Linked DNA regions of Oryctolagus cuniculus. The protein of the gene in region 1 interacts with the protein of each later gene in a pairwise test. Links are inferred from orthologs where the notes say so. Each region holds a gene or a part of one and is shown in the gene's direction. Other genes may lie near its edges.

Region 1 (8,081 bases):
ACATCAGTGTTGGGGTTCCCAGAGAAACTTCCAGAACTGTTCTGTGGCTGAATCTGCCGAGATGTAAATGCACCTGCTGTCTTCTTCACCCGCGCCCTCCGCTTTGCTCACTCCTCTTCAGCGTCTCTCGGGGGACTGTCCCCCAGCCACACGTCTGCACTGTGTTCCCGCCCTGGTCGGCTTGGTTTGCCAAGACAGATGTCATACCTGGGTGGCTTGACCACAGAGATGTATTCCTCTCGGATCTGGGAGCCGGATGGGCCCGGATCAGGGTGCCGGCATGGCTGTGTTCCGGTCAGGGCCCTCTGCTTGGCTGGCTGGCGTCTGCCTTCCTACTGCGCCCTCACGAGGCGGAGCGAGCTCTCTGGTGTCTGTCGCGATGCCACTTTGTGTATTTTAAAATGTTTATCTGTTTGTTTGAGAGGCAGAGAGAGGATGGGAGAGAGAGAGGATGGGAGAGAGAGGGAGAGAGAGAGAGAGGGAGAGAGAGGGAGAGAGACCGTCCATGCTCTGGTTCACTCCCCAAGTGCCCACAACGGCTGGGACCCGGCCATGCCGAAGCTGGAAGCCGGGAGGAACTCAGTTCCTGTCTCCCAAGGTCCACACTGGCAGGAAGCTGGGGTCAAAGATGGAGCCACGGGGCCGGCGTTGTGGGGTAGGGGGCAGAGCCAACGCTGGCATCCCCTGTGGCACCGGTTCAAGTCCCAGCTGCTCCACTTCCACTCCAGCTCCCTGCTGATGGCCTGGGAGGCAGCAGATGACAGCCCAGGTACTTGGGCCCCTGCCACCCACATGGGAGACCTGGATGAAGCTCCTGGCTTTGACCTGGCTCGACCCTGGCCGTTGGCGCCATCTGGGGAATGAACCAGCAGATGAAAGATCTCTACTTCTGTCTCTCTGTTACTCTGGCTTTCAAATAAATAAATCAATCTTTTCAATCTTTTTTTTTTTTTTTTTTTTTTTGACAGGCAGAGTGGACAGTGAGAGAGAGAGAGAGAGACAGAGAGAAAGGTCTTCCTTTGCCGTTGGTTCACCCTCCAATGGCTGCTGCGGCCGGCGCTGTGCTGATCTGAAGCCAGGAGCCAGGTGCTTCTCCTGGTCTCCCATGGGGTACAGGGCCCAAGCACTTGGGCCATCCTCCACTGCACTCCCGGGCCACAGCAGAGAGCTGGCCTGGAAGAGGAGCAACCGGGACAGAATCCGGCGCCCCGACCGGGACTAGAACCCCGTGTGCCGGCGCCGCAAGGCGGAGGATTAGCCTAGTGAGCCGCGGCACCAGCCGTCAAATAAATAAATAAATCTTAAGAAGAAGAGGAGGAGGACGAGGAAGAGGAGGGGGAGCCACGTGCAGCAGTGTGGACACGGGCATCTTAATGTGGGTCACTCTCCAGACGCAACATCCACGCTGGGCCAGGCTGAAGCCAGGAGTCAGGAACTCCATCCTTGTCTCTCCCGTGGGTGGCAGGGGCTCCAGTCCTTGGGCCACGCCTGCAGCCTTCCCACACTGGTCGCAGGAAGGTGGGTTGGAAGCGCAGGCACTCTGATATGGGTTGCCGATGTGCCAGATGGCGCTTACTTCCACGTGCCCCAACACCAGCCCCTGCCACTTCGTACCAAGCCCACGGAGCATCACGCAGGTTGCTACAATTCTTTGCCACAACAGACCTCATATTGCAGTAAGACTGTGCACATAACACTTTTTTGCACGCTTGTGAATGTCTCTTGGGTACATCTCTACAGGCAGCACGGCTGGCCCACGGGGCCTGCAGGTTTGGTTTGGAGAGATGTCAGAGGCTGTGGGTTACAGTCACGGCTGGAGCGCCCCCCTCGGGAGCTTCCCGGAACTGCAGCTTCACACAGCCCAGTGTGGGGAGCGCTCCACCCCAGCCCGGTTCAACCCCAGACCCAGAGCCCGAACATCAAAAGCCCCCAGATTTCACGTCGGAGACTCCAGCAACCCTGTTCTTAGACAAACATCTCCTCGGCCTGTCCACTTTTCAAACTTGAAATGCGTCTGTTGAAAAGTTAACTTCATGTCATCAAGAGCAACCGTGCCGAGAAAAATTAGCAATAGCGCTTTTGTCCTCGCCATCACGGAACGTGGAAGAAACTAAGGTTCTGTGGGCGCAGAGTTAGCAGCAGGCGGGTCGGGGGTTCGAATCCCCGCAGGTGGGTTCCATGCATAACTGAAAAATAAAGACAACAGGAACCCAGCTAGGCAGGTGGCTCCAGCGGGCATGCACTGTGTGGATAAGAAGAACAGGTGTCGCGCACAGCAGCCCCAGGGACGAAACCTGCCCAGATGGAAGGGACGGTGCGAGAGGGGTGCGAGACCTGCCCGCCCCGCCGGCCTTGCACCCTTGCGGGACGCCGGGTCCCTCGCGAAGGCACCTGCGGGGAAAGAGGCGGGGAATCGCAGCTCCTTCCCCGCCGCGCCCTCCGCGCCTTCTCCCCGCCTCCTTCCCGGGAGTCCGGAGGCCACCCCCCACCCGACGTCTGCGACCCCGCTGGCCACGCCGCCCCGGAGCCGAGGCCCCCCCATAGGCGGCGGGGGCGCCCTCGGGTCCCCAGTAGCAAAGTTAGGGCCGAAGCCACCCCGCGCAGAGCCGCGGCTCCCCACCCACCACCCCGCCTCGGGCTTCCCGGAAGCGTGGCGCGCGGGTGGCACCATCGTGCCCCGTGCCTCCCCACCCCGTGGGACGGAGGTGAGTGAACCCCGGCAGGGGTGGCGGCGAATCCCGGGGCGCGGAACGGGGCCTCGAACTCGGGGCTCCGACGCCCCACGCGGCCGAACGGAGCCGCGATCCCCCGCCCCGCCGTGGCTGGCGCTGTGGTCGCTGCTGCGCCGGGGCTGCGCAACCCGGCGACCGCGGGCGGGGGTTGGGGGCGCGGCCTGGGGCCTGTCCACGCCGCCCGGGGCCAGGAGCCGCGGCGCACCGAGCGTGGGGTGGGGGGGTGGCGGACTTTTATTCTGACATGGCCGGCGCCGCGCTCTGCTTAGTCATGGTGACCTACGCGCGCTCCGCGCCTCCCCCCGGCGCGCAGCGATGGAGGCGCCCGGGCTCCGGCGGCGGAGGCGGAGCCGCAGCGCGACCATGGCGGGGTGAGTGAGGCGGCCTGTGCCCAGGCTGCGGGCGCCGCGGGCCTCGGGCGCCCCGGCGACCATGGCCGGGGGCCGCGGGAATGGGAGCGCGGGGCCCTGGGGCCGCCTCCGAGTTCCCGGAGGCCCCGGGAGGGCGCGGCCGGGGTCCGATCGTTTTGTTGGACGGCGCCACTGCCGGGGCGGCCGGAGAGGCACGGAAGCCGGGAGTGAGACGCAGGGGGGGAGCGCACGCAGACGAAAGCCCGGGGATCCCGGGGCGTTGGCGACGGCTGGGTGCGCGCTGCGGCCTTGGCTGCCAAGAGGCCGCGGCGGGGTCACTTCCTCGCTTCTCCAAGGCCTTGGTGGCGGCTCAGGCGGGGCATGCGCAGTCCCCCACTTGTCGCTTCGCGGCGGGGGGGAAGTGCTTGGTGCCCAGGGGCACCGTTGACCGATTGGCCAAAGATCCAGAGGCCAGCCCGGGGCCTCGCATGGGGAGAGGGGGCCGAGCGGCGCGCCGGGCAGGGTGGAGGAGGGCGGCTCTGGCAGGCACCGTGGCGTGGGCAGCCGGCCAGCCACTGGCTCCTGCGCAGTGCCAGGCCGCGGGCGGGACGCGGGGACACACAGGAGAGGGTGGCCCCAGCGCTGGCCTGCAGGGGGCTCCCTGCCCCCTTGAAGCTCCGCGGTGGAGTTTGGGGGGGGGGCGAGAACGAGGCGACGTTGGGCTGAGCCCCAGAGCTTGGGAGCGCCTTGCAGGTGCCGCGGATTTCAAAACGTGACTCAAGCCCTGGCCCTCAGCCTCTGTGAGTCTCTCAGCTCCTGACCGGACCTTGCTGCTCCCTGCGCCCCAGCGCCAACCTCACCTTCCCAGAGGGGTGTGGGCCAGGACACCACAGTGCCTGGGACACAGCAGGCGCTCAATAGATGTTGCAGGGCTGAGCGAAAGAATGAACTTGACATGACTGGGGAAGGGAGGAGGTAGCTGGATGGCTGGATGGAGTGAGCTGGAGAGAAGTGGGTGGACAAGAGCTGACTATCCTGCCAGCTGTTGAGGGGTCCTGTGTGGTTTTGGGGGTGGGGGCAGGATCTGGGTGGACCCCTGGGTGGGCACGGCCAGGAGAAGGTGGGGAGCTCCACCGGACCCCACCTCACCAGGTTTGCTTTGGGAATGGCTCTGTCTTACGAAAGAGGGCCTGGCAGGTGCTGGCCTGACCCCTGCCCTGCCCCCAGCCCTGTGCTCTCCCTCCTCCAGGCCCCTGAGTGTCCGTGGCGGCGTGATCCCTTGTCACTTGGAACCTCATGCAGCCGGAAGCCGAGCCTAGCGGGGCGGAGGCCTGCAGCCGATTCCTGCCCCAGCAGTCACAGCGCCCCGAGGGGGCGGGGGACGCCATGATGTTCGCCTCCACCGAGTGCAAGGCCGAGGTGACGCCCTCCCAGCATGGCAACCGCACCTTCAGCTACACGCTGGAGGACCACACCAAGCAGGCCTTCGGGATCATGAATGAGCTGCGGCTCAGCCAGCAGCTGTGTGACGTCACGCTGCAGGTCAAGTACGAGGACACGCCGGCCGCCCAGTTCATGGCCCACAAGGTGGTGCTGGCCTCGTCCAGCCCGGTCTTCAAGGCCATGTTCACCAACGGGCTGCGGGAGCAGGGCATGGAGGTGGTGTCCATCGAGGGCATCCACCCCCAGGTCATGGAGCGGCTCATTGAGTTCGCCTACACGGCGTCCATCTCCATGGGCGAGAAGTGCGTGCTGCACGTCATGAACGGTGCCGTCATGTACCAGATCGACAGCGTCGTCCGCGCCTGCAGCGACTTCCTGGTGCAGCAGCTGGACCCCAGCAACGCCATCGGCATCGCCAACTTCGCCGAGCAGATCGGCTGCGCCGAGCTGCACCAGCGCGCCCGCGAGTACATCTACATGCACTTCGGGGAGGTGAGCCGGGAGGCGGGAGGGCTTGGCACGGAGGGGCGCGCCCCAGGGCGTGATCCCCGTGAGACGCCAAGGGGGAGCCGGGGAGGATCGAGGGCCCTGGCCACACATCTGACCACCAGGACAGTGACCCTGGTTTCCCTGGGGTCAAAGGTAGGGGCAGAAGGCAGTGACCGTGACCACGGCCAAGCGCTGGTCAGCAGTTCCTTCCAGGACAGCGAAGACAGGCTGCTGGCTGCCCTGACCCTGGTCCTTGTTCTCTTTAGTGCCCACAACCTTGTTATCGTGCAGGGTTTGGTTTCGTTTTTGTTTCTCCGTGGAGGAAGTTGTCAAAGAGAAAATAACTCAAGGGTTTTGTTATTATTATTTTTTTTTCCAAAAGGCACTGTCCTAAGCCCTAGTTCTGAGGTTGCATCTCTTGGATGCCAGGCGCAGCCGGAATGTCCATGATCTGACTTTCCAGATTCAAAACACTCCAGAATCCGAAACTTTTCCGAGCAGTGACGCGATGCCACCAGTGGGAAGTTCCGCTAAAAACCATGCATGAAGTCACCTTCAGGGCCTGTGTGTACCCAGGAGTCTCCCAGAACGTCACAGGGATACGTGTTAGGGAAAAACCGGGCATGGATTTCAAAATATTTTTTTTTTATTTGACAGGTAGAGTTAGTGAGAGAGAGAGACAGAGAGAAAGGTCTTCCTTCCGTTGGTTCACCCCCAAATGGTCACTATGCGCCAGGAGCGCTGCGCCGATCCGAAGCCAGGAGCCAAGTGCAGGGCCCAAGCACTTGGGCCATCCTCCATTGCCCTCCCAGGCCACAGCAGAGAGCTGGACTGGAAGAGGGGCAACCAGGACTACAACCCGGCACCCATATGGGATGCTGGCGCCGCAGGCAGAGGATTAACCAAGTGAGCCACGGCACCGGCCCCGATTTCAAAATATTTTTGCACCAAAATAAGCTTATCTTTTAAACCCAGCCCCCCCCCCAAACTTTTGGAAGAACACCTGTATAAGCGAATTTGGTGTTCACACGCGGGTCCCATCCCTAAGTTTCCTTGCTGTGTACACGCAGATATCCCAAAACCCACAAAAGAATCCAAATCTCAAACACTTAAAAATTTTACATTATTTACTTGAAATGGAGAGTTACAGAGAGAAGAGAGAGAGAGAGAGGAGAGTGATCTTTTGTCCACTGCTTCACTCCCCAAATGGCCCCAACGGCCAGGGCTGGACCAGGCCAAAGCCAGGAACCAGGAGCTCCATCCGGGTCTCCCACGTGGGTACAGGGGCCCAACACTTGGCCCATCCCCTGCTGCTTTCCCAGGCGCATTTGCAGGGAGCCAGATGGGACCTGCTTGTCTGGGACGCCTGCGTTAACCTGCTGGGTCCCAGTGCTGTGCCCTCCCGGCCAGCACTTCTCTTCCTAAGCACTTGGGGTGAGGTGCTCAGCGCATGGTCTGCGTGACTGCCCCGCTGTGGCTCACTGACTCAGCCCAGCCGTCCTGGGAGGAAGTGTGGCGCGTGGCTGCGCAAGCAGGGCTGTGTCCCTGGCCCCAGGTCTGAGGGAGTCCCCGGCCTTGGAGAATGCATCCCAGACATTCTCTACGTCTTCTTCTGGCGCCTGGGACTGGTTGGGGGGCCTCTACCCTGGTCTTGTTTTCTCTCCTGCACTCCGTTACACGCGGGGTTGGCCAGATAACCCCAAGGAGAATTAGCTCTGGGGTTCTTGGCGTCCACAGGGTGGGCCAGTAAGCAGGTGCCTCCCATTCAACTGTACTGTGTTTCTTCCTTGGGACTGCGTGAGCCTGGGTTACCAGAAACAAAAGTGTTCATAAAAACAGGTGCCCTGATTTGTCTGGGCCCTGACTTGGCTACTCATGCAATCCCCATTTCACAGAGGAGAACAAATAAGGCCTGAGGGCGTTTCAGAAGTTTTCCCAAGGTCACCGCTAAAAAGTCATGGGACCAGGCTGGCGCCGCTGCTCACTAGGCTAATCCTCCACCTTGTGGCGCTGGCACACCGGGTTCTAGTCCCGGTCGAGGTGCCGGATTCTGTCCCGGTTGCCCCTCTTCCAGGCCAGCTCTCTGCTGTGTCCAGGGAGTGCAGTGGAGGATGGCCCAGGTGCTTGGGCCCTGCACTCCATGGGAGACCAGGAGAAGCACCTGGCTCCTGGCTTTGGATCGGTGCAGTGCACTGGCTGTAGTGGCCATTTGGGGGGTGAGCCAATGGAAGGAAGACCTTTCTCTCTGTCTCTCTCTCTCTCACTGTCCATTCTGCCTGTCAAAAAAAAAAAAAAAAAAAAAGTCATGGGACCAACATTTTGACTTTTTTATTTTAAAGGTTTATTTATTTACTTAGTTGAAAGGCAGTTAGAGATCGTCTGTTCACTTCCCACATGGCTGCAACCCAGGCCAAAGCGGGGAGCAGCCAGGAGCCAGGAGCTCCATCTGAATCCCCGACGTGGGTGGCAGGGCCCCAAGGACTCGGGCCATCTTCCTCTGACTTCCCAGGCGCATCAGCAGGGAGCTGGATCAGAAGTGGAGCAGCCGGGACTCGAACTGGGGCTCCTATGGCATGCTTGGCATGGCAGGAAGCGGCTTCACCCGCTGTGCCACACACCAGCCCCTTTCTTTCTCTCTCTGCTTTTCAAATAAATAAAAGATAAGCCCCCACCCCCACCCCCCAAAAAAGGTTCATACTTTTCAAACCCGCCTTTTATAGATGAGGCATCTGAGGCTGTCAGATGCGCATTAAGTAACTTGACCTTGGCTGGGGGGGGGGGCAGGGGGAGCCGCGCAGGCGTCAGCCCCGCCCCCACCCGCCCCCTGACGCCCTCTGCAGGTGGCCAAGCAGGAGGAGTTCTTCAACCTGTCCCACTGCCAGCTGGTGACCCTCATCAGCCGCGACGACCTGAACGTGCGCTGCGAGTCCGAGGTCTTCCACGCCTGCATCAACTGGGTCAAGTACGACTGCGAGCAGCGGCGCTTCTACGTGCAGGCGCTGCTGCGCGCCGTGCGCTGCCACTCGCTCACGCCGCACTTCCTGCAGATGCAGCTGCAGAAGTGCGA
Region 2 (7,421 bases), on another chromosome or scaffold:
CAGATGATAGCAAGTTTGGCTTCATTGTAATAGATGGTAGTGGTGCACTTTTTGGCACACTGCAGGGAAATACAAGAGAAGTCCTGCACAAATTCACTGTGGATCTCCCAAAGAAACACGGTAATATTGAAAGAGAACATGACCCTATTTGTCTTTTGCTTAACAATAAGGAAACCCAAATAGTATGATGGGGGGACAGGCGATCTAGGTAACAGAGAGGAAGTCATCCTGGACTTAGTGATAGATTTAGTAGTTAACTCTTTGAAAAAATAAGTAACAGTTTATGCTAGACCTTTTGTTCAAGGATGGTAAATTTTTTCCTTGTCCTTTCCTTGGATAATAGCATGCATGATTGTTTTTTATTTTATTGCTTTTTAAAATGCAAGGCCTTGTGTACTTCTTAATAATTGCCTTTTTCTCTCACTACTTTTGTGTCGAAGGTAGAGGAGGTCAGTCAGCCTTGCGTTTTGCCCGTTTAAGAATGGAAAAGCGACACAACTATGTTCGGAAAGTAGCAGAGACTGCTGTACAGCTGTTTATTTCTGGGGACAAAGTGAATGTGGCTGGTCTCGTTTTAGCTGGATCAGCTGACTTTAAAACTGAACTAAGTCAATCTGATATGTTTGACCAGGTAAGTGAGAAGTAGATAGTCCATGGTATATGTCTATGGGTATAGGTTGAGTCCTTTGTATGAGCACTGGGTACACCTACCTGTTTGAATTTACAATACCTTTCCTGGGTCAAAAACGTAGCTTTAAGATAAATGGTGGCGGGCTTATAGGTGTTTATTAGGAAACATTACCTACTTTTCTGGATCCTTCCTCTTTTGAAGTCAGCCATTTTTGAGTTGGGGTGCTATGGCATAATTGGTTTTAAAAAAGAATTTGACTTCACAGAAACTATAAACTTCTTTACTGTCTTATTCTGATTTATTCCTAAGGTAAATAAAGCAGCAAAATGACAGAGGTATTAAGTCTAAAACATTTAATCCAGAAGGATCTTCTGGTTCAAGATACAGGCTCAGCCATAACCTGTTCCCAAGGAGTTCTTATGGGAGAGGTAGCAATATAGTAGACAGTGTCACCAAAGATACCATCTTGTATTCTTAAGTGGCAGGAGCCAGTAGCTCCCCCTTTTGTTCCTAAGATACTTACTTTTGTGTACATTGAATGACTTATCCTACCGTAGGTTTAACATAATATGTCATATGAATGGCTATAAGTTTGCTCTGGCAACATTGCTCACTTTTGAGTTAGCCCTTGAATAAATAGGAATCCTCCATATTTAGACATTAGTGATTACAGTGTTAATCTTTGTATGTCATTAAGAGGTAAAGGAGTCTTGGTAAAGATGTTTTAAAGTAATAATGATTTTTTTTTAATTGTGTCAGAGGTTGCAATCAAAAGTTTTAAAATTAGTTGATATATCCTATGGCGGTGAAAATGGATTCAACCAAGCTATTGAGTTATCTACTGAGGTCCTCTCCAACGTGAAATTCATTCAAGAGAAGAAATTAATAGGTATCAATGAAATGCAGCTACTTATTATGTGTTTTTGTGTATTAAATGTGTATGGATGATATGTATGAAAGAAACACTGGAAAGGTAAAAAAGAAAAAAGATGAAGTATTTTGTTAAATCTTCTGCTTCTGTGGAATCATTATTTTTAATATTCAGTCATTAGGTCTAATAAGTGTGCTTAATTATATTCATATCCACAAGGGAAAACAATATACGTTCACCTTTCAGTATCTGAGGGGGGCTGGTGCTAGACCTTCTCCTTCTCTACCCTGATAACAAAATCTACAGATGCTCAAACCTCTTCTATAAAATGGCATAGTTTTTGTATGTGGTTGTTATGCTGTATTGTTTACGGAATAATGACAGGATTAAAAATCTGTACATGTTTGTTACATATTCAGGCCCAGCTATAAAGTACTTTTCAATGACAGCTTAACTGGTTCCCCCCACACACACATCTTTTTGATCTTGGGTTGGTTGAATCTGCTGATTAGAAATCCAGTTGTATGCTTTATTGACCTGTCACTAATACCACAGGACGATACTTTGATGAAATCAGTCAAGACACGGGCAAGTACTGTTTTGGAGTTGAAGATACGCTAAAAGCTTTGGAAATGGGAGCCGTAGAAATTCTAATAGTCTATGAAAATTTGGATATAATGAGATACGTTCTTCATTGCCAAGGCACAGAAGGTATGAGAATTAGAAAATAGGTTGCTGTTTGATACTGATCTGTGCATTCAAGAAGCCTGAGGGTGGAGATTGGAAAGGATGGCTGATCTCATGAGCAGTCAGAAGTCAGATCTACTCTTCTTTCTCCACTGCTTTGCTCATAGCACATACCTGTGTAAATTTTTCAGCTTGAACTGCTTAATGCCTGATTATATTTGCTGAAGAGCAGTCTCTGTGTTTTTGTTGTTCTTACTTGCTAAAGAGAGCTCTCATCTGTTCGTTCATTCCCCAAATGCCCAAATGGGTTGGTGATGGGGACCTAAGTATTTGAGCCATCACTTGCTGTCTATCAGGATGCACATTGTCAGGAAATACAAACCCAGAGCAGAGCCAAAACTGGAACTCAAGCAACCATTGGGCCAGACCACTCACCTGAGGGTCAGTTTTAATGTCTTTGATTTTTTTTTTTTTTTTTAATGGTGGGAGCAATTTACCTGCTTGACACTCAGTGAATGCTGGTGGAAAGGAAGTTTATAGAATGAATTTAGAAGCCTTTTCCTTATCCAACTGGCCTCATTTTGTAGGACTTAACCCCATTAGTATTTGACAACCAGTTTAACACATTGTTTTCCTCTTAATACTACAGAGGAGAAAATTCTTTACCTAACTCCAGAACAAGAGAAGGATAAATCTCATTTCACAGACAAAGAGGTATGTGGTTGTTTTCTTGGTTTGGTATACACGCAAGGAAACATGATTGTGTGTTAGAGCTCGGGCAGTTACAATGTCAGCCTTGGGAAATCAAACCACATTCCGCTTGAGGAGTTCAGTGGGGATTTTTTTTCTTAAAGTAGTTAAGCACTAAGGAGAACTTTCCCCTATCCTTGAAATAATAGAGAGGAAGATTTTATTTGAGTATGCCTCTCGCGCTCTGAAACCTGTGCTGCTTTGTTTCACTTACTTTATTAGCTGCTCCACCACAACAGCATCTTTGGGCTTGGTCTAAATGTGTCATGACATTTAATTTAAAGTGTCACCTTACCACAAGATGACTTTTAAGTGGTAGCTTCCTCAAACTCTGAGTTGTTGGACTTTGTTCTTTAAGAGCCGCTCCCAACAGCAGTTCTGGCACATCTCTTCTGGTCTGCTGAATGGCTGCCACAGAGACGCTGCAGCAGCCTGACTTCCAGAGTCAGCAGGAGTCATAAAAGTCAAAACCACTCAGTGTCTGTTGACATCTCATGACTGAGGCTTGAGCCCAAGGAGAAGGAGTATTTAAAATAATCCCACAGTTTCTCTGCAGTCTGCATTATGTTATTAGAAACCAGAATTCACTTTGTTTTATAGGAGTGCACGTGCGCACACACATGATAATGAGTGACAGCACCGAATGATGGTAGGCAAGAGAAGTGAGGGGGTGAGGCCTGCTATGTCCTAACCACTTGGTTTTTGCTGTCTTCTGGTGAATCCCTGTAGACAGGACAGGAACATGAGCTGATTGAGAGCATGCCCCTGTTGGAATGGTTTGCTAACAACTATAAAAAATTTGGAGCTACATTGGAAATTGTCACAGATAAGTCACAAGAAGGATCCCAGTTTGTGAAAGGATTTGGTGGAATTGGAGGTGAGTAGCGTATCAACAAAGTGAACTTAAAAACAGGGTCTCAGGCCAAGGCCTATGCTGACTAGCCTAAAATAAATTACTTCAGATTAGCTGTGCTCATTGGCTACTGAGGCAGGTGGTTGGGACAGCAGATGGTTACACAATCTTTGATTTGGACCAGTTTTTATCATCTCTTTGCTTTTCTATAATTGTGTAAGAGAACTGGACTTTATATTTGTGGTTTCTTTCTCCAGGTATCTTGCGGTACCGAGTAGATTTCCAGGGAATGGAATATCAAGGAGGAGACGATGAATTTTTTGACCTTGATGACTACTAGGTAGTCGACATGGGTCCGGCAAAACGTGCCTCGCCCTCCAGCATCCAACCCAAGGAGCATACCCGTGGTGGAATCCAAACAGATCCCTGCCTTACAATTGGAACATTTCCAGAACTTAATCCATGAGCATTGGATATTGAAAAGAAAACCGAAACAAAACCAGGCCCAACCCTACACTTTGGTTTGTCATGGTGTCAGCGCAGCAGCCTACAACTAAGTTCCTAAATGCCACTTTGGACTAATTTAAAAAAGAATCCCAATTTTTACTTTTACTCGATGGTGAAATTGGTTGCTCTTGTATTTTATGAAAAAATGATTTTTTTAACCTTCATACATAGAAGCAAAAATACTTTAACTGCTGTAAACCTTCAAAAGTTAATAGAAGTGAGATCATACTGGTTTGTTTCTTATTTTGATTGGAGAAAAATTAAATTGCTGCATTTCGCAGTGACCCATTTACATGGCATTCTCAGCTTAGACTGCATAAGAAGAAATATATGTGGTGAAATGTTGGAACCATTTCTCTCTTGGTCTCTGTTTAATGTTGAAAGGGTGAGCTAATAGGAGGCAATGTCATCTTCACTCCCTCACACTCTCCCTTCCCCTACAGACTGTCAATTTCAAGGATGCAAACTGCATTGCAAGGTCAAACTGACTCAAGAAGCATCTGGGCCAGTGCACTGTTTACTTCCATGTGTTTGGCAGCCACGTTTGGGCACAGCATTTGGGAGCCCTTTGTATCAGTTGCTTTGACAAAGGTCCCCTAATCCTAGCCTATTAGAAACCAGTTGGAGATGGATATGATGGGGCTTCTGTGCTGTTGCTGGGATTGGGAGAAATAAAACATGCAATTTCAGTGGAAGCAAAGAAATTTAAAGTTTATTTGCTTGGGTCTATCCTTGGTAAAAGGGAGGTGGTTGTGTTTTCCTTATGTTGGATGGCATGAGATTATGTGAATGTTTTGATTTTTTTTAAATGAACTGCAAGATTTTTCACAGGAACGACAGACAAAACATGTTTGACTGTGCATGTAATTATAAGCCCCTGACCTCCTGGTGGGGTTGGAGCATCTGTTTCAAATGTGGGACTTTACAAGCACCTCTCACAGGAGAAATTATGGGAGTGGGGCGGGTAGGGCAGGGGCGGGGAAGGGATGGGACACAGCTTCTGGCACCATGGACTTTACCATGTTGAATCCAAAAATTGACCTGAAAACCTGAAGCATGTGCTTCACAGCTGGGCCGTCCTTAGGATGTGAACCCAGCTGATAAGCAAGGTCATGGCGTGCTCGAGGTGACAGTGAACAAAATGAATAGGATGTGCCCAGTAGCAGCAATGGAAAAAAGTGTACCAAATGGGCTTTGAAGGACCAAAGGTTTTAAAAGTCAATTGGTATCACTCTCACACCTGGTTAGGGTCATGGGGTGCATTTGGTTTTTCAAATTGGGTACTTTTAACACTATAGTGCCTGACTGCTGTTCTTCACTGACTTGACTCAGTCACTTGTAGCTTTACTGGTCTGAACCAGCTCTTTGTTCCCAGGTTACAGACCTGCCTATCGTTCCAATAATCCTGTTTCACTTGAATGAAGGGAGTATGTCTTAAATGTAAAGCTTGTGGTTCTCACACTGTACTCAGAGGTCCAAATGACTGTCTGTCGATGCGTAACCTGTTGTCTCAACCCCCAGCGAGAAGAGTCAACTCTTTGCTGTTCACCAGCGTGGGAGGCTTCACCGGCTTTTGCTTTGGGCTCTGCTGTTTGTTTGCAGAATACCCAAGAGCAAGCAAACATGCTCTCTTCACAGCAGTACCTTAGGGTTTTGCCATTGTAAATGGGTCTAATGTGATATGACAAGACCAGAGAAATTGGATGTAAATTTACATTTTTAAATATGCTTGTTGTTTCACATGATACATTTAGGGTATGCAGCTCCTTTTGTAGTTTTTATTTTTACTATTTAAGTTTGGAAATGATGCCAAATTTTGTATTTCTTTAATCAATGTGTTCTCTTCAGTGATATATATTGCATTATATATTGATGTGTGTATCAATATATACTGATATGTATTACACTTACACTTACAAACACAGAAATAAGAGGGGGTGAAAACCGTAGCCTTTGCATTCTCTATAGCCTCTGCAGAGAGATCCTAAGCAGCAAAATCTTGGTGTTGTGATGTACAGAAATGGAGAAGAGTATTAAACCATATTTAAGAATACACTTTGTGTGCTTGAGATTTTTTAGGACTGTTCCTAGAAAAGGTCTGAGGTTCCTAGAAAAGTATGAGTTCTCCGAGGCATTTGTCAGATCAGTGGTGGCTAGTAACTTCCCAGCCTTAGATCTGAGTTTTCCATACACTGCCCATGGAAGGGCATATGCAAATGACATCTGAGGTCATGATCTCAAGATTACCCTAGAGAAGGGAGCTTCAACTTGATTGTATCCCACTTCCCTCCTTTCCATTTGTCAAAGGGGAACTATTTCCCCCACTTTCAAGTATGTTGTCTCATAACTAAACATCCCCTGCAGGGAGGTGTTATGCCCCATTCTATAGATCAACTAAAAGAGCTTTAAGTCACAGCCTGCCAGTGGTGATACCAAAATTTCACCCCAGGCTTAACTGCAAAATTGATGCTCTTTCTGCATCTGTTTGTCTTTGCGCCCTATAATAGAGTGGTCCAGATGGAAGAGCCGAGAAACTAGGCTAGGCCCTTTCCCTCCCACTCTGCCTCAGCACTGCATACCTCATATTGGGTAGCAGAGTAATCTGAGAGCAAGTCGGGTTGGCCCGAGGAGTGGGGGCCCTTGGTTCAGGTTAGGAGCAGAAGAGGGATTGCTGTGTTAATTTTCCCGAAGTGTGAGGTGTGCTAGACCTTATTTGGTAGTTTCTGAAGCCTTCACTAAAGAGCCAAGGTGGTATGTGGCTTGTGCTCTCCAGACCAGAGGAAGAGGTTTCCATTAAAGGCCCCCTGCTAGCAGTTTCTCTGTGACTTCGTGCTCTCAGCACACGTTCACTGCTTTCTCACCTGATCTAGATGATGGCCCTGCTGAAATCCAGTTGTCCTTTGCAAAGGGCAAGCATGCCTGGTCAGGCGGAGCTGGCGTTTTTCTTCATCATGCATCCCTAGGTGCTATTCTTGAAGTTGGGATTTCTGGAAGGAAGCACAGTGGTGCCGGGTGTGGGTTACGGTGCTTGCCTGTTTGGGCCTGCTGCACTTGCCATCTTTTGTTCTCTGGCTCTGGTTCCCATGCTGTGGCGCTCCCAGACAGGCACAGTGGATTCAGGG

Evidence for each region.
Region 2: the proteins of KEAP1 (region 1) and ETF1 interact in binary tests that used the Homo sapiens proteins (3 or more experiments, as listed by UniProt). The two-hybrid records come from large-scale screens. The link is inferred for Oryctolagus cuniculus from reciprocal best matches to the Homo sapiens genes KEAP1 and ETF1.

The regions. Positions count from the first base shown.
Region 1 is NC_091447.1:66,949,682-66,957,762, forward strand, and holds the start of KEAP1 (kelch-like ECH-associated protein 1), read left to right. Parts: upstream 1-2,464; 5' UTR 2,465-2,705; intron 2,706-2,883; exon of another isoform or gene 2,884-3,103; intron 3,104-3,356; exon of another isoform or gene 3,357-3,882; intron 3,883-4,309; exon of another isoform or gene 4,310-4,331; 5' UTR 4,332-4,378; coding exon 4,379-5,017; intron 5,018-7,854; coding exon 7,855-8,081. UniProt on the Homo sapiens protein: Substrate-specific adapter of a BCR (BTB-CUL3-RBX1) E3 ubiquitin ligase complex that regulates the response to oxidative stress by targeting NFE2L2/NRF2 for ubiquitination.
Region 2 is NC_091437.1:26,284,227-26,291,647, reverse strand, and holds the end of ETF1 (eukaryotic peptide chain release factor subunit 1), read left to right. Parts: coding exon 1-120; intron 121-440; coding exon 441-631; intron 632-1,390; coding exon 1,391-1,520; intron 1,521-2,057; coding exon 2,058-2,213; intron 2,214-2,838; coding exon 2,839-2,903; intron 2,904-3,668; coding exon 3,669-3,816; intron 3,817-4,049; coding exon 4,050-4,132; 3' UTR 4,133-4,994; downstream 4,995-7,421. UniProt on the Homo sapiens protein: Component of the eRF1-eRF3-GTP ternary complex, a ternary complex that mediates translation termination in response to the termination codons. The eRF1-eRF3-GTP complex binds to a stop codon in the ribosomal A-site.